3 linked regions of the Diceros bicornis minor genome follow. The protein of the gene in region 1 interacts with the protein of each later gene in a biochemical or structural test. Links are inferred from orthologs where the notes say so. Each region holds a gene or a part of one and is shown on either strand. Other genes may lie near its edges. The genes, in order: CDK9, CCNT2 and CTDP1.

Region 1 (7,310 bases):
GCCATGATGCACCCAGCACCCCAGAGGTCAATGGGGGGGCCGTAGTCCCGCTCCCCTGGGAAGAAGAGCGCACCAGGAGGGCCCCTTGAGCCCGAGGGCCTCCTGAGACGCAATGTCCCAGGGCCAGCGGCTCAGGAAGCCCTGGCAGTGGGGGGGTGAGGCCGGGTAAGTGCCCAGTCCCTGCCCCCCTCTGCCCGCTCGGGAGTCCTCACCGAGCAACAGCTCCGGGGGCCGGTACCAGAGCGTCACCACACGGTTGGTATAGCGGTTGGGCTGGCTGTTCTTGGCCAGGCTGAAGGCCCGGGCCAGCCCAAAGTCTGCCAGCTTCAGAACTCCATCACGGGTGATGAGCACATTAGCCGCCTTCATGTCCCTGTGCAAGATCTGCAGGAAGCACAAGGTTGAGGGCTCAGTCAGGTTACCAGGGGTCCTTTAGCCACACCCACCCAGCAGTGAGAGCAAAGGTCAGCCCAAGCCTTGGCCTTTCTTCTCCCACTCTGGTCCCCACCTTGTTCCTGTGGATGTAGTAGAGGCCGTTGAGCAACATCTGCATAACCCTCTTGATCTCAGACAGCGTGAACTTGACTAAGACGTTGCTCAGAAGCCCAGCAAGGTCATGCTCACAGAAGTCAAACACCAGGTATATACTGCCTTTGCAGCGGTTATAGGGGGAGGCTGAGGCAGGAAGAATCGGGGGAGGGGAGCAAGAAAAAGAAAGTTACGAATCCCACATGCAACTCATTTTCCCACAACCAGCTCCTACCCCCTCCAACCAATGGACACCCGGACATCCGGCTGTGCATTCCTTCACTGGTAAAGTATTTCCTGAGTGCCTCCTCTGGGCCAGGTGCTGTGGCAGGCCCTGGGGAAGCACCAGCTACGATGAAAGGACCAGAGAAAGCAGTCACAGTTGGTATGTCTGGGTTAAGAACAGGCAAGTGAGGCGTGTCCAGTTCCAACTTTGCAAACACAGCCTTAGGCTGCAAGGCTCATTTTCTCCGTCTGAAAAAAGCGATGAAATCCAAGAGACTTACCTTTGGTTCGACAGATCTCAATCAAGTTGACCACATTCTCATGTTTTAGAAGCTGGAGGATCTTGATTTCCCGCAAGGCTGTAATGGGGAACTGCAGGGGGAGAACGACAGGAGGGGGTCACAAGTGAGTGAGCACATTACAGACCAAGGAACCAGCCATGAGATCAGTCCTCAGGAGCACAGGTTAGGAGACAGAGTAAAATCACAGGCTCTGAAATCAGCTTTCAGATGCCTTAGCTGTAAAATAGGTCTAAGATCGGTATGCACCCTCAAGGAGCTGGTTTAAGACAATGAATTCAAATAGCAGTACTTAACACGAACACTTTACTACTAATCACTAAATGCTTCATAGTTTCTTTAACCTTCAAATTTTAGCTCTATGCCTGTGTTTAACTTGCTGGCTGGTAACAAAACCAACAAAAATAACTATTAGAAAAATTTCCTTGCTAAGAAGCAGGTCTCTGGGAAGCTGGACTAGAGCTAAGATGGGAGAGAGGGGACACAACCAGGTTACTCCTTTTCAATTGAGCACTAGTTATCCTTTTAAAGGTACTGCATGTAGTTTTTTTTATATTGAACAAAACTGCATGCTATCAAGTGTTTAAAGGCCACCTAACTTCAGGAACCAAGCTGCACTCAGTGCAAGCATGAGCTCCCCCTCCTGGCCCCAAGCATATTTACCTAAGAATGAAATATCAAATGTTTTAAAATGTTTGAATTAAAAGATTTAATTTGGAAGTCAAATTCCCTGGGATATGGAAATTCCCGAACTGCCGCACATACAGTGAATCTCAACGTGAGAGTTCTCGAAGACGCTGGATGGAAACCCAACCCCGTGCCCAGGAGAGCTGGCAGGCCCGCCGTCCCGACCCGTACTCACCCCCTCTTTCTCGTTCTCCATCAGCACCTTCTTCAGAGCCACTTTTTGGCCGGTCTTGCGGTCCTTAGCCTTAAACACCTCCCTGCAGGCCGAGAAGGGGACCCAGGAGGGCTCATCAGGCCGCTTCCGCAGGGCCCGCCCCTCCCCCCGCAGAGGAGGAGAGCAGGAAAGAAGGGACTCCAGGGCGGGGCTGGGCCGGGGACCCAGGGCGCTCAGCTACCTCACCACCCGGTATCTGCGGCCCCTCTCCGAGCCTCTACTTCCTTCCCTGAGTCCCTTCTCCTCACCCGGGCGTCTCTCCGAAAGATCTCGCTCCCCTCACGGGCTCCCCTCTGCAACCCCTCCCCGCCCCCCAGCACGGGCCTCAGGCTCCTCCCCGCCAGCCGGCTCTGTCAGGCTCCGGCGGGCTGCGGCGCGGCCTAGCGAGAGCAAGGCACAAGCCTGGGGCTCGGTGGCTTCCCGACCACCTCGGACCTGGCCCAGGGCCTCCCGGCGTCAGCCCTGAGGGGTGCAGGCCCAGGGCTCCCGGTCCCTCGGGGCTCAGCCTTACCCGAAGGTGCCTTGGCCGATCTTAGCGAGCTTCTCATATTTGGACACCTCATCACAAAAAGGGCACTCCACCGAGTCGTACTGCTTTGCCATGGCCGCCTCCAGCGCGCCGCCGCCGCCCCCAGCCGCCGCCGCCGCCGCCGCGCCCGCTCCGGGTCCCGCCGCCGTGCTCCAGGCCCCTCCGCGGCCGCGCCACTTCCGCCTCCAAGGCCACTTCCGGCCTCGCGGCGCCGACCCCGCCTCTTCCGTTCGCCGCCCGCCGCCAGGCCCCCTGGGACTTGTAGTTCCCGGGAGGCCAGGAGGAGCCGGAGCTGCAGAGGCGCCTCCGCCGCCGCCGCTGCCCCCGCCTCCGCCGCCGCCACTGCTGGCGGTGGCCCCTATCGGGGGCGCGGGGAGCCGGGGCGCCGGGGCTGGGGCTCGGGGCGGTGCGTCCCGCTGCATCGGCCCGGGCCGCTGCTGCTGCCGAAGCCGCTGCCGCTCTGGCGCCCGATCTGGGGCCAGCCGCAGTGCCCTGCTCCTCCTCCTCCTCCGACGGCGCCGCCTCCGCCGGGCTGCGCGGGTCGACGGGCGGGGGGGCGGCCCCCGAGCCGCGGCCTGGGGGCTCCCTGGCCGGGCCCGGGCCCGGGGCGGCCGGGCGAGGGGGCGAGACGGGAAGAGCCGACGAGGAGGCGGCCCGAGAGTCCGGGAGGGGGCGCGTTATAAAGGGGGAGGTGCCCCGGCTTCGCCCTCCCCTCCCCCTCCGCCCGCCCCCTCTCTCCTCCCTCCCACCCTCCGCGGCCGCACCTGCCGCCGCCGCCGCCGCCACCGCCGCCCGCCAGCCCACTGTCCGCCGGCTGCCCTCGGCGCGTCACCGCCCGCGGCCCCTCCTCCGCTTTCGGAGGTGGGGCCCCGCGCTCGACACCTGGCTGCGGGGCGCCTCGCCGCGTGCCTCAGTTTACCCCCGCACGCGAGCTGCCGCAAGAGGCCCCTTCCTCTCTGGTTCGGAGTGCCCCCCCCCCCCAGCCGACAAGCGAAGGCAGGAGGCGCCAAGGGAGCGGCCTCCGGTCCTGAGAGGGAGAACGGCCCCCGCCGCCGCCTCGCCTCCCCCGGCCCCAGCCACCCGCCGTTGACATGGCAACCGACGGCCGCCAGGGGGCGCGGCGACACTGAAGGCGGCGAGGGAGTAACGCGCGGGTCTTCCAGCCCTGGACCCCCTGTTCTCTGGGAGGCAGGGATGAGACCCACAGGACCCCGGTCCCCGCCGAGTTGCGCCCGGATCAGTAATCACAAAAATAGCTAGCATTCACTTAGCACCCCTGTGTGCTCAGGAAGTGCTGGGCGTTCCGCTGAATCCTAAATCAACAGCCCCATAGTCAGGATCACTAACCCATTTTACAGATGAGGACATTGAGGCTCAGAGAAGCAAGGTCATTTGCCCAAGGTCACACAGTGACAAAACTGGGACTCGAACCTGGTCTGTCTGAATCTGTAAAGGATTCTCCCGACTCAGGTTATTTACAGTCTGGCCAGGAGTATAGCAGTGGTGTGTTTGAGGCCTGTGGTCCTTATGCCAGGCACCAAGCCCACCATTCACCCATCTCTTCTCTGACCCTGTGCCCCCTTCCTCTACACCAACCCCCAGCATCTTTCTCATACCTTCCTGGCTCCAGGATCCTCTCAATTCTTCCTCCAACTCTACTCAACAACCAGCCCCCAGCAAAGCTGTCTTTCCTACCTCCTCTGTGACCCTTCAATCTGACCCTCCTTTCCAGTCCTCTGCTGATGGATCCTGAGTCCTGGCCTCCCCAGTCTGGCCTCTCCATCTGTCCCCCTCACAGCACACTAGATCATTCTGAAGTGGAGTCTACATGTATTTCCCTCCACTGTCTTGAGGAAAAACCAAATTGTGATAATTGAAGCTCTTTCCAGCTCCCTCCCAAGCTGTGGCCACCAGAATCTCCCTCCTGTTTCCTAACTCCCTGGCCTTCCCGCCTTCAGGGCTGTGCTCTCTGATTGCACCCCAGTACCCTCTCCAACTGCGGGAAGCCCTTGGGGTTTCCTCCCAGCTCTTACCCTACATGGCTTTGCCTTGAAGGATCTGGTGATCCTCGTGTCCCCAGAGACCCCGTTCTGGGGGAGGGTCCTGCTAGGGAGGGCCTTGAGGGTCAGGTGAGGAGCAGGGAGCCCTCTCCTGAGGACTGTGGAGCCAGCGAGGGTTTTAGGCAGTTGAGTGTGGTGTCAGGGAGTGCTCTGGGGTCAGCTTCATGGGTACACTATTAGAAGCAGAGAGGCCATTGGCTAAGTTGGGGGTGGAGAGGGCAAGGAGGGAGAAAATAACAATAATTGTAGTCATTACAATTTATTGAGGGAAAATAAATGGTCTAAGCTGTACACTTAGCATTTCATGGGAATTATCTCAATTCTTAGCCATACGAGGTGGGTACTATTACCACGTCCATTGTACACGTATAGACGCTGAAACTCAGAGGTGACATCACCTGACCAGGGTCAAACAGCTGGCCAGTGACCGTATTGGTGTTTGAACCAGGTCAGTCTGGCACAAACCCCAAGCACTTACTCATGTCAGGACCCCGCCCGTGGAGGCTGGAGGTGGAGCTGGGGCACAGCTAGGGCGGAGCACCGCTGGGCTTGGTGTCCTGGCTGCCCATGGGAGGTGTGGGAGGGGATGGTAGCACTGGGGGGTCTGCTATGGTTTTTGGTGGCTTCTACCCTGAAACTTTCAGGCTGGGGCCCCTGCCTGTTTCCCACGAGCCTCCCTAAGTCACATCCTGTGGGCAGACGCCTCAGCAGAGGGTTCCGGTGGTGTCATCACCTCCACCCTGCCATCCCTGGTCTGAACCCCAACATCCGCCAGTCACTTCCCCTTGGAGCCTCAGGCCCTCAGCCCTGCCCGATGGAGGGAGGCAGGCAGGAGTGGTCCGGAGCCCTCCGGAAAGCTGCCCAGGCTGCCCAGGCCTGGGGCCCAGATCGCCCACGTGGAAGTGAGAAGTTAGGTCCTGGCCAGAGACAATTTCTCTCTGACTTTGACATCTGATTGGCTGGTTCGGGGGAAATAGTTCCTGCCCCATGGATTGGCTAAGCTGGCAAGGCCAGGCACCTGGCCAGTACTCAGTAAATGTTTGCTGACTGGCTGGCCAGGCTCTGAGAGAGCGCCTGGTCCTGCTGCCATTTAACACGTAGGGAAACTGAGGCACGGAGTACGAACGGGAGCCACTAGCCAGCTGTTTGACCCTGGCCTGAACTCTCGATTTTCCTCCCCTGAGCAGAGACAGGATGGGGCATATGGAGGGAAGGAGAAGACAGGCTCATGGGTGGGCTACTCTTGGCTGCTCATACATCTGGGGGACAAGGGGTCACTGGATAGAGATTCAGGACTGAGCATGGCTGTGTGATGCCCTGAGCCCTGTAACACCATGATGTTCTGCCCACATCAGCCAGGTACTGACTCTGTGCCTGGCAGTGTTGATATGTGTCATCCTCCTGGAACTTTCCAGCACTCCTGTTAGGAGGTTGCTATTATTGGGCCCAAGTTACAGAAGAGGAAACTAAGGCTCAGAGTGGTAAAGAGGCCTGCCCAAGGCCACACAGCCAGGAAGCTCTGCAGCTGGGATTCAAAGCCAGGTCTCTTTGCTCTCAAAGCCCAGGGTCATTTACCATCATCCTACACCGCCCCCAGGACAGACAACTGGGTCGAGCTGGGGAAAGGCATCGACTGAGACCAAGAGCATAGTAGGCACGGGGCCAGTGTGGATGCATAAGGCTAGTTTCTCTCTCAGGGAGCATGAGGTCTGCTTGGAACATGCCATGAAAACAAAGTGTCTGTAACGTGGATGACACTCTCAGTACAAATGTTTTATTTCATCGCTACAGGATCATGTGAAGATGTTGTATTTGTTCCATTTTACTGATGGGAAAAACGAGGCTCAGAGAAGTGATGTCACTTCCCCAAGGTCATGCAGGTGGGGTCTGGACTCAGGTCTGCCTGGGCCAATGCCTTTGACTATGAACTTGAAGGTCTCCAATCCTAATGGTTCCTGGCCAAACCAGGCAACTGAGGCATAGACTGAGGGAGAGGGGCAAGGACGGAGGGGACAGAAATCAGAGCAGGGTTCCTGGGGACACTATGGCTCATTCTAGACCTGCAGAGACTCCATGGAAGCAAAAGATGGAGCCAGTGGAGGGAAGAGTAGCATCCAGGTGTGGGTCCAGCGCAAGCAAAGACCTGGGGGCAGGAAGGCACTTGTGTGTTCAGGGCTGCAGAGCGTGGACTGGGCTGGGCTGGCCTCCAGCGCAGGCTGAGGAGGGCCCGCGGGACAGCCACCCGCCAGCAGGTCCCCAGCCGCACTCCCAACGGCCACTCAAGGCAGCACAAAGGGGGCTCTCAGCTCAGCGGAGCCGCCACACTGAGCCCCATTCATCCTCCCAGGGACGCGGCAACTGCCCTGGCGCCCGGGCCAACGGCAGGGCCAGCCTAGCACTGACAAGGCACCTCCACCACGGCAACACAGCCGCGCCGGGGCCGGGGCTAGGACTCCCGGCTCTCACGCCATGCGCCTGCTCCGGGGTGTTCCTGGCCAGTGCCAGTCTGCTCCTGGCCTGAACCACCCCCATCCCTCAGCAACAGCCGCCGTTCCCTAGTCCAGGGTTTGCTGAGGCCACAGTGCACTGGCCTGGGCCAACATTTGCTCCTTTCATCCTCCCAGGAAGTGGGGGCAACTGTGACCCCATTTCACAGATGAGAAAACTGAGACCCAGAGAGGTAAAGTCTCTTGTGAAGGATCACAAAGCAAGTTGTGAGTGGCCCTGGCTGGGAAGCTAGCCCAAGTCCCTGGACTGCCTCCTGGGAA
Region 2 (7,249 bases), on another chromosome or scaffold:
TATTAAAACCACTTTTGATATAGTAGCAAAGGTAAAGACGACAAAGGTTAGATATGAAGGGTACAAGGTTCCTTTTCAAAGTAGAAATTAACAGCAGATTTCAATTATCCTAATAATGACTCAATGTAAAATGGTGAAGTTGACCTTCATACACACATAAGACACTAAGTAGGGTATTAAAAATTAATATTCTGGTTTTTTTATTGAATGATGGCATTTAAATAAAATAGTGAAAGTTAGAATCCAAGCAATCTGGGCTTCACCAGTCAATTTAAAGTTAAAACTGTGAATTTTAGCTGAAAATAAGATAATTTGTTTTAAAGTACACCAACCAGGCCATAGAGACAAATTATGAAGGAGGGAGGGTTCAAAAACAAAAATGAAGTTTTGTGGTGAGATCATTTACCAGAAGTAGAAAAGTAAGCCTGATTCTTACTTTTCTACAGGGACATCTGTAAATGGGACATCTGTACCCACATCAAGAATTTCCAGAACTATTCTGACCTGTGATTTGACCAACATTTTCAAGGGCTGCTTAGGGAAAGCCACATTTATATTAGTATCCATTAGTTCACTACTTCCTTTGGAGACAATTTAAATTTCATTCCTTCAATCTAAATGTTATTACCAAAAAGGCTTCCTCTCTCTTCCATAACACTATCATTGACCTAAGTTCTGTGCACAAGAAATAACTAGGAAAATGGAAATAAAGCAAAAACCACACAGATTTAAAAGAGAAAGAGTAGAAGGAATGGAGATCACAAGAGACCAAAACGTATACAAAAATACATATTGTTCAAGACAAACTTACATGCTAATCTGATAAACTAAATCAGAATTATGATCAGAAAAGATTAAAATAGGAATCAATCTAAACCATGAAGCTTTTCCGTCCAATCCAAGAAAATATTTCAAGGACCTTCTCAAAGACTGTTTTCTTAGCAAAAAGGTCCTAATGACAATCCACAAATAGCATAGTCTTACACAGTCTATTTTTCTACACACACCTTTCAGAATTGCATTCTAAAAATAGCTGTGATAAAAAGAGCCAAAAATATAATGAGAATTAAGATGGGGTTAAATATTTCTAAATACACAATTTTCTTTGTTAACAGATGCAAGACAATATGTTACAGCATGTTACTGTGAAAAGAACAAAGTTACATCTTTCGTAACTTAAAATAAAAATTTCAACTGAACGTCGCTACTCAGTATGTCAACATTTACAGGTTATGTTCAAAATCAGTACCTTAGTATTCGAGGGTAAGTTTTACTTCAAAACTATATATACATACTCAAACTCTGACATAGCATGTTTGAGGCAAGATTTGACATTTGAATCACCAAAAATTTAAGTAGACAATTAATGCTGAAGTGTGATCAACAGGAACGTCTGACATCTTAAGAAATTGTGTTAGCAAATGAAATATTTCTGCTGAACATTCAACTCTTTCAAAGGGTCATTTCAAAAGAATACTGCAATTAAATTAAGCCCAATTCACAATATTTGAAACAATTTAAGTCGAATAAGATTAAGATACACAACAGAATGACTAGGCTTGCCTAAATTACACTGTACATTAGTTTGAAATTATTCAAAAGTTTGATTAATTTAAATGAAAAACTTAAATCAACACTGATGTAATAATTCCGAGTAGAGAAACGTTTCTTTTATCTTTTAGCTCAAAAGACCTGGCAGAGTCTAACATAGCGCCTAGCAGCCTGTCATCACAAATTAATAAACCAACCAACCAACAACCCCGCATTTGAATCAAAAAATTTATCATGCGTATTACCTTCACTGTTAACTTACAACACTAAATCCAACAATAAAATCAATGATCAACTAACTTCTTTCTGCGTATCGATTTACCTTAAGATTTTGTGGTAGTAAAAACAGACAATAAAATAGTACTTACATTTCTATTGAATTTGGTGAAAGAATGGTGCATATAAAATCTGTGCATATAAACAATCGCAGTGTTTATTGTAAGCTGAGAGCTGGAACGTATCATTTAGGAAATATCTGAGAAGAACAAGACCTCATTTCCAAAATAATTTTGATGGAAAACTCCCAACCTACAGTTTTTTTTCAATGCTTCCAACTCAAACCCAAACCAAAAACTGTTAACAAAACAAAACAAAAACAAACCCCGAAAACCCGCAGGGCTGTGACGGAGGGTGCCGAGGGAGAGAGAAGGCTCGACGCCAAACAAACAGTAATAATAGTAACTGCTGAGCATTCCACTCTAATATTGCTATTAAGCGAGCCCAGGAAGGCTTTATCAATGGCTACGACTGACTCAACTCAACATCACACAGTTGCAACGCGCGCGCGCACACCCATACAAAACCACGCCAAGAACATAAAAGCCCTCCGTCCAGGGCGCTCCCAAGGTACAAGAGAACCGCCATCAAACCCGCGAGCAGCGCGGGGAAAGGCTGCGGAGCACACTTAACGCCTTTCAGCACCGCGAACCCTCCTACCTCTCAACCCCTTCTCGGACGAGGGGAAGTCGAAGCAGCCGACTCTCTTCTGCGATAATCCCTAAGATTCCCCCTCTCGCCTGGGCGGCACTCCCAACCCCCGCCGCCACCACGCGCGGCCCCAAACAGATTACACAACGCAGCCTCCCAGCCCGCATTCCCGGACGCCTCTCCTCCTCCCCTCCTCCGCTGGCCGCTCGCGGCCTCCCGAGCCCGAGCCTGCCTTCCCTTACGGCGTGGCCAAAGCCCAGGAAGGCCGAGGTGGCGGCGCCATGTTCACGGGGCACCAGGCCCGGCGACCGGGCGAGTAGTGAAGAGGACAGGGCGTGAGCGGAGGAGGGCCAAGAATAGGAAAGGATACACATTGAGACGCTGTCCCATGTCCTGGATGAGGTTGGCCGCCTGCTGGCGGTACGAGAGCTCTTTATCCGCCTCTACTCCGCAGCGGCGGCTCGGCGTGTTCTCCAGCTGTTCCCGAGTAAAGAACCAGCGAGAAGAAGCTCCACGGCCCGACGCCATGACACTTCCTCCTCCGCCCGCTCCCTCACCCTCCCCCCTCCCCTCCCGGCTCGCGGACTCCCCGCCAAGGCCGCACGACCCCGCCCCACTCCGCTCGCCGTAGACGACGCACCGCCCCTTTTCACCCCCGCCGCCGCCCATGCGCATGCGCGGGGGAACGCCCTCCCGGCTCGCCCTAGTCTTTTGCTTTCTTTTTCCGGACCCCTGCGTCGCTCTCGCGCACGGGACCACAATGCCCCGCGCAGTTTGTCATTTGGAGGCGCCGAAGGTGGGGGTCGTCTCGGAAGGAAAAGGTCGGCGCGGTGCATGCCGGACCTAGGATTGGCGGGGCGAAGGGGCGGGGAGGAGAGGAGGGAAGAGGCTGGCCTGGGGTCGGGTCCCGCGAGAGGGGGGCACGCGGCTGCGCCGTGGGTTGGGCGTGGGCTCTGAAATCCGGGCGAGTTCTTGGGCTGGGAGTCTGGCGGCCCTTTAAAAAGAGAAAATCCTTCCTGTTTTGTCTCACACCACAGCTTCCATTTTTCCCTGCTGTTGGTTCGCCGCGCAGTGTCGTGGTTTTCGGCTCCCGTGTCCTTGAGGAACAGCCTCCGCCCAACGGGCAGCTCTGGGAAGGACCTTCCTGGGAAAGAGTGCATAGGAACGTTCCATGTTTGTGCCGCACTTAAGTGCTTTTTTCCTACGTTATCATGTTTGAATCCCACAACTGGGCAGACCGTGGGTTTATTTGTTAAGGTTACTTGCTAGAGGTTAAGGTTACTTACCCAATTAGTAGCTAGAACTGAATTTCTAGTCCCTATCGGTAGTGTGTTTTTAAACCAGGCTATGATTTAAAAGAGAAGGTTAAGGAGAAGCAGATAGTAAAGAGGAACTGAGTAAAAAATTTATCTTTAGTATTTAATACAGTAACCGCGCACACACTTGTTGATTAACCCCTTCTCCCGTCCCTGCAAGAAAATACCGCAGAGCTCCACTCTGGGAGTCAGTCTCTGGGTCTGAGCCGACTAAGTTTTAAATTTTAACTATTTGCCAAAGACTACAGAGTATAGGCAGACATACTTTTTTTTTTTTAAAAAAACGCAACAGATACTACTTTTAAGTGAGTTCCTGATTAAAGCTCCAGGCTTTTGTCATCGTTTAGGGGCTCTGCCTGTCCCCATTACACTACAGTACTGAGATATTGATTTTGTTGCAGTAGGCAGTTATTATGAACAACTGTCTAAACTTCATTTCTTACCTACCTTGCTTGCCTCACATCTTATGCTGCTTGGAAGTTCCAGGATAGATTGATTTAAAGCAACGTTTATAAAGTGTCTACCTCCAACACTGTCATAATAAAAACTTGAAGCAACTTAGTAATACAGAGGCACTTCCTCTACTTAATAAAGAACATTTATAAAAACCCTACAGCTAGCATCATACTTAATGGTGAGAAACTAGAAGCCTTCCTGCTAAGGCAAGGATGTCCCTTCTCGCCATTCTTTTCAATATTGTACTGGAATTCCTTGCTAATGCAGTAAGAAAAGGAAACAAAAAGTGAACAGATAGGGCTGGAAGAAATAAAACTAACTTTGTTCACAGATGACAATTGTTTATGTAGAAAATCTCCAAGTATTAAAAAACCAAAACTAATACGTGATTATAGCAGGATTGTAAGACATAAGATTAATATACGAGTCAATTGTTTTCCTATATATCAGTAATGTACAATTGAAATTAACACAATACCGTTTACAAAAAGTAATACTTAGGTATGAATCTAAAATATATACGGGATCTATATGTAGAAAACTACGAAACTCTGTTTAAGGAAATCAAAGAAGATATAAATGGAAGGATATTTTGGGTTCATGGATCAGAAAACAATATGGTTAGATGTCAGTTCTTCCCAATTTGATCTACAGATTCAATGCAATCCCTATCAAAATTTTAGCAAGTTGTTTTATAGATATTGACAAATTGAGTCTAAAGTTTATATGGAAAGGCAAAAGACCCAAGATAGCCAACATGGTACCAAAGAAATTAGACTGACACTACCTAACCTCAAAGCTACAGTATGTGTTGGCAACGACAGCATATATTGGCAAATGAATAGACACAATAGATCAATGGGACAGAATAGAGATCTCAGAAACAGATCTGCACAAATATAGTCAACTGATCTTTGACAAAGGCGCAGAGGCAATTGAATTGAGAAAGGATAGTTTTTCAACTAATGGTACTAGAACAACTGGACACCCATATGCAAAAAAAAAAATCAAAAAACAATCTAGACACAGACCTTACACTTTTCACAAAAATTAACTGTGAATGGATCATAGCCCTAAATGTAAAATGCGAAACTATAAAACTTCTAGAAGATAACATAGGAGAAAATCTAGGTGACCTTGTGTCTGGCAATGAGTTTTTAGGTAGAACAGCAACAGCATGATCTATGAAAGAAAAAATTAAGTTGGACTTCATAAGCAAAAATTAAAGACCTCTGCTCTGCAGAAGACACTGTTAAGAGAGTGAAAATACGAGAAGAAAATCTTTGCAAAACACATATCTGATAAAAGACTTGTATCCAAAATATGCAGAGAACTCTTAAAACTCAATAAGAAGAAAACAAAGAATACAATTTAAAAATAGGCAAAAGATTTGAACAGACATCTCACAAAGAAGATATACAGATGGCAAATAAGCATGTGAAAAGATGTTCCACATCATAGGTCATAAGGATATTCTCAGTAGCAATTTATAATTGCAAAAGATTGGAAGCATGACTGTCCATGAATTGAGGATTGGATGATTATGGTATGTCTATGTGATGAAATATTATTCAGCTATTAAAAACAAGAAGGCATCAAAGTGCTGAAAGAAAAAACTGCCAACCAAGAATAGTCTATCTGAAAAAGTTGTCCTTCATAAATTGGAGAAAGAAAGAATGTTCCAGACAAATAAAAGCTAAAGGAGTTCATCACCACTAGACCAGCCTTACAAGAAATGTTAAAAGAAATTATTTAAGCTGAAATGAAAGGGCACTAGTTAGTAAAAGGGAAACATGTAAAAGTATAAATCTCACTGGTAAGAGTAAATATGTAGTAAAAATCAGAATAATCTAATGTTGTAAAGGTGGTGGGTTAACCACTTATAAAGCTAGTATGAAGATTAGAAGACAAGAGTAGTAAAAATAACTATGACTACAATAATTTGTTGATGGATACACAAGATAAAAAGAAGTAAATTGTGACATCCAAAACATAAAATGTGGTGACGGAGGAGGGAGTAAAATGTAGAGCTTTAGAGTGTGTCCATATTTAAGTTATCAACTTAAAATAGACTGTTACAAAAAGAAGGCAGCAGCTTACATGTGGAATGACCACTAAGGTATTAAGCAGGAAAAAAAAACAAGATGCTACTGTTTGGGTAAAATGAACAAAGGAATATGTACATTTGAATACTTTTATAATCATAGACTATCTTTGCAAGAATACACACAAAGAAACCAGATAAAATTAGTTCCTTCTGGGAGACATAGGTTGAATTTGATCGTTTTGAACTTTTCTAACATGTTCATGTATTGACTTTTCAAAAATAAACTTTAAATTTTTTATTAGGTTGTGAGCAGTGTTGTGTAGAAATGGCAACTTCCATTCACTTTTGTTCAATTTTGATTGGGAAAAAGCCTCAGAATAGTCTCTAAGTTAAACAAAATAAGTGGGTATTTATTTTAATTAAGTTAATCTTAAGTAATTACCTTGAACATAGGTTTAAGTATTCTGGTTGGGTAATATAAATTGAGTTGAATCAGAGCTGGCTTACTTTTTAGGAGAGATCAAAAATGTGGGGAAGGGTACTGTACAAGGAAGAGAAATGCTTGGATGGCTGTGAATGGTTGTCCTTTGGAATCTGATGGTGATGGGATTTTTTTTTTTCTGGGGTATATTTTGAAAAAGTGCAGTCTTGTGCCACACAATGACGTTTTGGTCAACGACAGACTATGTCCGACAGTGGTCCCGTAAAATTAGTATCATATAGCCTACGTGTGTAGTAGACTATACCATCAGGTTTGTTTAAGTACACTCTATGATATTTGCACAGTGACGAGTTTTCCTAAGGACAAATTTATCAGAACATATCCCTGTTGTTAAGCAATGCGTGAATGTACTAATACTAGATAACAAAGGAGAGAAAAGGCTGAAAAAGTGATTTTCTTGAGAGATTTTCGAGATTCTGGGTGTGAGCAATGTTGTTTTAGGGACAAAGG
Region 3 (7,886 bases), on another chromosome or scaffold:
CAGGATGAGAAAGTAATTTCCTGACTCCAAGGCAAGACTTCTCTACATGATTACTTTAGTGCACTGACTGAACTGTGTTTAGAATTTAATAAAAACCGTCACTACCTAATTTTAGAACCCTAAAACCGGGTACTAATCGCAGGTTGTTTTCCTTATTCTTCAGTCTACAGAGCAAGGGAGACAGCAATACTGCGACGGCTGGGCCTTCACGTTATCCAGCAATCCTCCTTCCTGCTCTCCGGCGGCGCTCACCCCAGACTGGCTGAGGCAGACTTTCTTCCTGCAGACAAACCAGGTACGGGGCACAGACAAAGCTGGTCAGACGCCCACTGAGAACAAAGACGCTCCCACAGCCTCCTCCTTACCCATCTCGATGGTAACTCATTCCCTGATTATTTTACGTATCTTCCTTTTTTTTGGGGACTTCAGCATCTCCCAGTCAATGACGACAGACAAAAGAGCAAACAAGGACGGACATCATTAGGTAAACTAATAACTAACAGAGTTGGTTTCTGACAAATGGTACCCTGTCACGATATTTTCAAATCAAGATAATTTTAACCCACACAAATATTACAAAAACATAAATCGTCATTCTATCTACTTGCCCCCACTGAGACTCTCCGGATGAAGAATGGCCTAAGGAGAGGGCAACACGGAGGAGAAAACGAGGCAGGCCTCAGCAAGGTAAGGTGCTGCACACATCAAAACCTCTGGGACCTCAGTCCCCTCCTCAGTCTGTGGAGTAAGGATAGTTCCTACCTCTACCTGATGGCATGAAGCACTACAAACACATACAATCTTACCACAGGTCGCAACGGTAATGGGGTGATCATGTCCACTACACCCAGATGCAACATTTCTAAGCTCCTAGAACTGTTCATTGCCAGAGAATAACCCGATGCGGTCAGGATGAATCCTGCTGATGACAGCGATGACGATGGCAACAACAGCTCCAGCCAGGTAAGCCTGGCTCTGTGCTGGTGCCTTCCTCATACTCACTCACACCTGCATCCCAGGAGAAACGCTGCCACTCAACAGGCTCTCAAGGAACCCATGACAGACCACCGCAGTGAGACACCCCAGGATCTCAACACCAAACACACAAAAAGAAAAAGACTATTCACAGCTGGGAACTGGCTGATTGGTGAGATCAATGCATTGGGCTCCTGCGATTGGCCAGACCAGCTGATGGGGTCAAAGCATGCATGTGGTGTTTCTCACCAGCTGTGACCTGTCACTGCCCTGTCTGGGCCTTGGTAGCCTTCTACACCAGAGAAACAGAACAACACGGAGAAGAGCTTTTCACTTCAGGGTTTTCTACACAGCGACACACAGCATTGGGCTTCACCTCCATAATTTACGGACTGACGGGTTTATGGGCTCATTAGGGCGCAAGCGATGGTCAGGTAAGATCTGACTCCAAGATAACAACAGCAGCATACCAGAGTGTCACATGTACGGCACAGTGAGCCCCTGTCTTCCGAGAAGCCAGGCAGGGGGCTCCGGTGGAGGGTGCCACGAGGCAGCTCCCCTTCCACCCCACCTGCATTCCGTGGGTAGGCGTGGGTGCCTGAGCTGAAGGCTGAGGACCCAGACTCTGTCTCCAAACAATGACCTAGGAAAAGGGAACACAGGATGAGGATTCTGGGGCTGAGATAAAGACCAGTCCTTTCCCATCCTATCCTGGTCATCAGCTTCTTGGGGGGTGGAGGGCAGGCGGCAGATGCTCAACAGCCAGAGGATCAGTGCAGGCCACAGGGAGAGGAGCCAAGACCAGAGCAAGTGGCACCGTGCGCCAGAGGAGGGCCAACGTGGGCAGAAAGGGCCTGAACACCCAGGACACCCTGTGGCTCCGCAGAGGAAAGCTGCGCACCAATCACTACACGCAGGAACGCTCACCTACCCTGGCTTTCTGCTCCTGACAATGACAACCACAGTCATGCCACGGGCACACACCTGTGCCCACACATCAATCAAATCTCAGAGCACAACACCGGTAAATTCAGACAGGTAGACTATCGGATTCACACACTGCAAAAAAAGAAAAAAGGCCCTTTATGAGGTTAAAACGCACGTACAGAGAGCTAGACCCTACGGTGGGAGCGTGTGCTTCTATTCTGTCGCCCTGAACCACTCGCGGGAGACTGCACCCCCTTCCCGAGCTCTGATGCAAAACTGCGCCAGGTTTCACAACCGCGCTTCACAAGATTTACTCAAACCTAAAGAAACGCACTCCCCCCCCCCCAGTTTACACCGCGAGAAGCGTGGAGCTGCCCGAGTTTTCTTAACTTACAAACGCGGCATCTCAGAGACAGGGAGGCACCTACTACAGAAAAAGAGGAACGACCGCACTGTTTCCTAGAGTGCAACTTCGGCGGCTCAAGAATTCTTTTAAAGGCAAACACCTGCATTTGATAAAATCACAAGCAGTGACTGTCGTCCAGCCTCAGAAACACCCGCAAACGCACAGTGAGCACAGCCCCTTCAGCTGCAGTCCTGGGAACCCTTTCCCGCCCAGTGCCGGGACCAAGACCCCCTCCAGACCCCGGCCCCCTCCCTTCCCCTCTCCTGGCCCGAAACCCCCTCCAGACCCCGGCCCCATCCCCTCTCCTGGTCCGGCATCCCCTCCCTTCCCCTCCCCCGGGCCCCACTCACCCGGGGGCCACCACTTGGCCGGGCTGCGCGCACAGCTCCCGCACCACGCCGGCGCGCTCCGACCTCAACCGGCGCTCGGCGCGCACGCAACCCCCGGCGCCGGCGCGGGCAGGGGCGGGCCCAGCGGGCTGCGCGGACGCGGCGGCCTCGCACACTGCCAGCACGGAGCCGAGGCGCACGGCCGCGCCCGCCGCCACCCTCCACTCGAGCAGGCGCAGCGGCCCGGGGCCCGGGCAGCGCACCTCAGCCACGGCGGCCGGCGCGGCGCCCTCGGCGGGAAGGCGGCCGGCGAGCGGCGCCTCCATCGCGGCCGGCGGGTCGCTGAGGAAACGCGGCGGCGGGCGGGCGTTCAGGGCCCGACGCCCATCGCGGGCGGGCGACCCGGCCCAAGCGGCGGCGGCGGCGCTGCGATTCCCGCTCCGGCACCGGCTTCCACCCGCCGCCCTGGCCCGCGCCGACTTCCGGGACGGCGTGCGATGTCACGTGACGCCGCGTACGTGCGCGTACGCCGAGGGGCCTGCGGGTAAACACACGCCCACGCGGGCGCGAGAGGCGCTGCGCCGGCCCGAGTACCGGAAGCGTCCTAGGACCACCGTGCGGGGTGGGCCCGGCAGGAACAGTGTCACCACACGCCCCATCTGCCCTAGGGTCGCTGGCGTCCTGGGACTACGGGTCCCGGCATGCAACCCGGGCCGCCGACCCACAGCCCCGCCCGTCACGAGCTCAGGCCCGGCGACGTGAGAACTACGAGGCCCGGCATGCAATGCGGGCCGCCGTCCCACGGCTTCGTCAGGCGCTGAGATTCGGTGTCGTTAGACGGCTGGTCCCGGCATACAACGCGGGCGTCGTGGAGCTGCGGTCCCGGCATGCGGCGCGCCGTCCAGGGTCAGAGGGCGGAGGGCGCCGGGTCGCTCATGTGCCCCGGCGGTCGAGTGTCTCGGGGTCCCCGACGCTGGCCTCCTCCTCGCCGCCTTGCCGACGTGCCCCCGTGGGGCGGCCTCCCGCCTTGGCCCGCAGGGGAGAGGTGCCCTCGGGGCCGCCCGGGGCCCTCAAGGTCACCTTCGGGGCGGCCCCTGTGGAGCCTCACGCGCAGGCGCATCCTGACGGAGCCCCGACGGCAGAGCCCGGAGGCCGCGGAGAAACGGCCGGGCGGGGGGGGGGGGTGGCGCTTCGACGGCGGCGCTCTCAGGGGCGGGTCAGTGAGGACGCGCGGGGGCCCGGGGCGCCCGTCTCTCCGTGTGCGCGCCTTCTCCGGGCGGGCCGTGTGCTGCCGGTGACCGTTCCCGCGGAGCGGGAGAGGGGCGGGTCAGCGAAACGGGAAGCGAGCCGCCGGATCCCGGTTTGCGGCACTCGGACGGCGCTCGGGATGAGGAGGGCTCGCGGTCGCCGAGGAGCGAGCGAGCGCCCGTGGGGGGAGGGAGACGGGCGCGCCCGGCCTGCGCCGCGCGGGTGCGGGCCCCGAGGAGCGCGTCCGCGGCGACCTGCGGCGTCGGAAGGAACGGCGGACGACCCGGCGCAGAGGCAGGAGTCACGATCACGGCAGGAGTGGATGCGACGGAAAACAGCAAATCTGCAGGCCGGCAGGTGCTGCTTTGAAAACGTGAGCAAGTTTGACAAACCGTGAGCTAGATGGAGGAAGAGGGGACGTCAGATGACTAAAGTCAGGATAGCAAGACGGAGAAGTAGTACTACCGGCCTTAGAGGAGTGGAAAGGAGCGCGAGGGCGTCATGAGCGACCGTGTGCCAACAAATCAGGTAACCGGTGAAGGGAACAACTCCTAGAAAGACAAAATACGGAAATTGACTCAAGAGGAAGTAGAAAATAGGAGTAGACCTACACCAGGTAAACAGAAATGATTTCATCTCGGTGTTATGGGGGCCTCGTGGACTCCGGACCCTTCGAAGAGGATTTTCTTCGTCAGCGCTTTCTTACTCCCGCCTCTGAGCCTCCATACAGCCTTCTCTAGAAGCTTTTTTCAAAGCCCAGGTCCAGGCTCGCTGGGTGTTGAAGGAAGCCACACTGCCCAGCAAGACAGAGTTGTCGCTGGTTTTTCCTCTGGTTGTCCGGGAAGCAAGTACCCTCACTCAAAGGAGCATCATTTTCTGGGGTTAACACAGTCTGGCGCTGTTGAGTGAAAGCATGTATCTTCTAGTAGTGTGACTTGGACCCTGCTCCCTAGGAAGTAGCAACACAGTTTTCACATTGTTGCCGTGGGGGCGGTTGGTGTTTCACAATCCTAATGGACGCCAGAAGGCCACGCATTAGCTGTATAGGCCTTATCTTGACCTGTTTGCGGTGCTGGCGTTTTGTTTTTTTCTGTTGCCTGAATCCTTTTGCTGACAAAAGGAGCTCAGTCCCTCTCACCACGCCCAGGTCACTCTAGCTGTCACAAAGAACAAATTTTTTCAGGCTCACTGGCTATTGCAAGTTTTCCAGCTCCTCGCCTCCTTAAAGTCACCCCAAACAGTCTAGAAGCCTCAAGAGGCGGATCTGCAATGCTCCAGAGAGCCTTCTTGGCTCCTCCCAGCTGCTGCCCAGTGAGATCCTCAGGACTCACTCCTTGGTTCTGCTCGCTCCCTTCAGCACTAGCCCATGAGGCCCGGTGCTCTCCCCAGGACTTCTAGAGAAACACGGGATGCAGCTGTTGGGATTGTTTTTACTAGTGTGCCAGACGCTGTACCGAAGAAGCGTAGGAACAGGATGCCTGAGCCTTTCTTCTGTAGGCATACAGGGTGAAGGGCCAATCACCTCCATTCCATCAAGAATTGATTAGGGGCAGGGCTGTGTTCAAGTCTTAGGTATGACTCAGTCCACTCCTGGTTTCAGATGTCTCAGAAGTGAGCCTTCCTGTGTGCTGTTGTGGGCCCTTCCTGTTAGTGGGAATTGAATCACTTCCAACTGCAGGAGATTTCACACCATTTTGCCAACCCAGCGATACCCCCAATCCTGCATGTGTCCCTAGTAGTAAGCAAATGTCCTGTGAGGAAGCCACCGGGTGTCTGGGGCTCATCTGTTTCCAGTCTGTCGCGCAAGCCCAAGCAGAGGAGTTATCTTCATGTTAGTCCAGTCTCCCCGTCTTTGTCAAGCTCAAGGTCAGACTGCTCAGACTCATCAAATGCCTTAGAGAAGGAAAGGGCCACTGAGAGAAAGAAGTTTGTCTAGGAATGGTTCTTTCCTCTAGAATCTTCTTTCAGTCCTGTTACTTTCCAGACCTATCTGATGTCTTGATATTTGCATTTATCTATTTTTCCCAAGTTATTGCAGCAGGAGCCATAGCTGGTTTCTACCTACGTCATCCTACCTGGAAGAAGAAGTGGATGGGGTCTTGGCATGAGGAGAAGAGGAGATGGGCATTCTAGGCATAAGGACCATCCATCATGATTGAGGTTCTGGGCGTTCTCTTAATAGAGTCCTTTGTGGAAAAAATGTGAGGAACAGGCCTAGGATGTTTGAAAAATTACTGATACCACGGTTCCATCCCTCATTCTAATTTAATTGGTGTTGGGTGGGGCTGGAGCATCAGGAGTTTTGCTCACTGGGTTCTTCTAATGTGTATCAAGGTTTGAGAACCACCCTGGTAGGCAGCGGGTAGTCATTAAAAATTTTTGAGCTGACATATGTGCTTACCCAATCTGTGCTTAAGTCAAAGCTAGCAGCTAAGGGCAGAGAGAGCCCAGAAGTAGATGTCCCAGTTCTGGGATTATCTCAGTAGATGAGAGGGTCGCAGGGAGAGTTTCTGAGTTAACCAGTGGGTTTTATTACTTGTTGGATGGGTTAGTGAAAAGGGAGACAGGACACATTGGGAAGAGATGAGTCCCCTTGGAATCTGTTATGTCTGAGTTGCCTGGGCATGTAGTCAAGTCAGCCATTGGTGGGAGAGCAGGGCCAGTGAGCAGGTTCCTGGGGGTTCTGGGGGGACAGTGTACATGACATTAAGTGAGGGGAGCTTCTCTTGTGGGGAGGTGGCTACAGTAATGTCATAGGCAGAGAAGGGGGAGGAGCAGCGAGCAGGGAGTGGTCAGTGGGTCAACCACTGTGGAGCGTTCAGGTGAGACCAAGGGCTGACTTTTCCAGTAGGGAGGGGCTGTGTTGGAAGGTCCAGGCTGGGCCAGGAATACGTGAAGAGCAAGCTGGTCCTTGAGGGAGTAGGGGCAATGTTTCTGTGAAACAGAAGTGATGGGGGAAAGACATGGGTGAGGATTACAGTTACATCTCTGCCCGGTGGTCACGTCTCATAGCTTTACTCGGATCTCTCTCTCCCTGTGTTCTTCTCTCCCCACTTTAAAAACTACGTAAACTGTGTACATACCAAAGACTGTGATCCTAGAATGAACCCGTCAGCCCACCTACAGTTTAGAACATTACCAGTGTTGTTATAACTACCTCACCATCCCATCTTGTCCTCTCAGTTCCCCACCAGCGTGGCCGCCAGCTTCAGTCTCCTGGTTGCCATTATTCTATATGGGGTTTTGCTGTGTGTGTGTCTATGTACACACAAAGCTATCGTTTAGTTACGCCTGTTTTCCACGTTTATAAAAATGCATCGTATGTATGTTTCTTATCTGTGAATGGCTTTTTTTGTTCATCACTATGTATCCAAGTTCTTATTATTTTATTTGATTATAGTTTATTTATTGTGACTCTTGTGTAATAGCCTGTTGCATGAATGTAGCAGGATGTATTTGTCCATTTTCTTGTAGATGGAGACTGGAATTGTTTTCACTTTGTGGTGTTATGGGAAGTGCTGCAGTGAGCATCCTGCGTGTTTCCTGGGGCACAGGAGTTAATGCCTGAGGGTGTAGACCTGAGTGTGCAACCGTGGGTCGTAGGATGTTCACATGTTCAGATCTATGAGATAATGAACACCAAATTAGTTTTGAAGATGGTTGTCTCAGTTTATACTCCCACCACATCCTCAACAATTTGGTATTATCAGACTCCTTAATCTCTGCCAATCTAGGTGGAAATCTGTGTTAAAATTAAAAGTTGTGGTTTTACTTTGAATTCTCCTAATAGGCATTTTGGCTTAGTATCTTTTCCTATTTTTTATTTGCCTTGTGTTTTCTGTGAAATCCCTGTTCATGCTCGTCACTCATTTTTCTGTTGGGCTTTTGTCTTATGGATTTGTGGCAGTTCCTTATGGTTTCTGAATACAGAGCCTTTATTATCTGTTACCCACATCGTCTACCCATTTTTGGCTTGTCTTTTTCATTTTCTTTATGAGATC

What was found.
Region 2: the proteins of CDK9 (region 1) and CCNT2 form a complex in vitro, tested with the Homo sapiens proteins (4 studies listed by BioGRID, with this or other methods). The link is inferred for Diceros bicornis minor from reciprocal best matches to the Homo sapiens genes CDK9 and CCNT2.
Region 3: of the proteins of CDK9 (region 1) and CTDP1, one has a biochemical effect on the other in vitro, tested with the Homo sapiens proteins (3 studies listed by BioGRID). The link is inferred for Diceros bicornis minor from reciprocal best matches to the Homo sapiens genes CDK9 and CTDP1.

Annotation. Positions count from the first base shown.
Region 1 is NC_080767.1:35,786,386-35,793,695, reverse strand, and holds the start of CDK9 (cyclin-dependent kinase 9), read right to left. Parts: upstream 3,076-7,310; 5' UTR 2,905-3,075; coding exon 2,465-2,904; intron 1,997-2,464; coding exon 1,915-1,996; intron 1,126-1,914; coding exon 1,035-1,125; intron 676-1,034; coding exon 509-675; intron 385-508; coding exon 213-384; intron 56-212; coding exon 1-55. UniProt on the Homo sapiens protein: Protein kinase involved in the regulation of transcription.
Region 2 is NC_080749.1:20,537,917-20,545,165, reverse strand, and holds the start of CCNT2 (cyclin-T2), read right to left. Parts: upstream 3,031-7,249; 5' UTR 3,007-3,030; coding exon 2,849-3,006; intron 2,002-2,848; coding exon 1,920-2,001; intron 1-1,919. UniProt on the Homo sapiens protein: Regulatory subunit of the cyclin-dependent kinase pair (CDK9/cyclin T) complex, also called positive transcription elongation factor B (P-TEFB), which is proposed to facilitate the transition from abortive to production elongation by phosphorylating the CTD (carboxy-terminal domain) of the large subunit of RNA polymerase II (RNAP II).
Region 3 is NC_080755.1:67,832,436-67,840,321, reverse strand, and holds the start of CTDP1 (RNA polymerase II subunit A C-terminal domain phosphatase), read right to left. Parts: upstream 3,076-7,886; 5' UTR 2,964-3,075; coding exon 2,659-2,963; intron 1-2,658. UniProt on the Homo sapiens protein: Processively dephosphorylates 'Ser-2' and 'Ser-5' of the heptad repeats YSPTSPS in the C-terminal domain of the largest RNA polymerase II subunit. This promotes the activity of RNA polymerase II.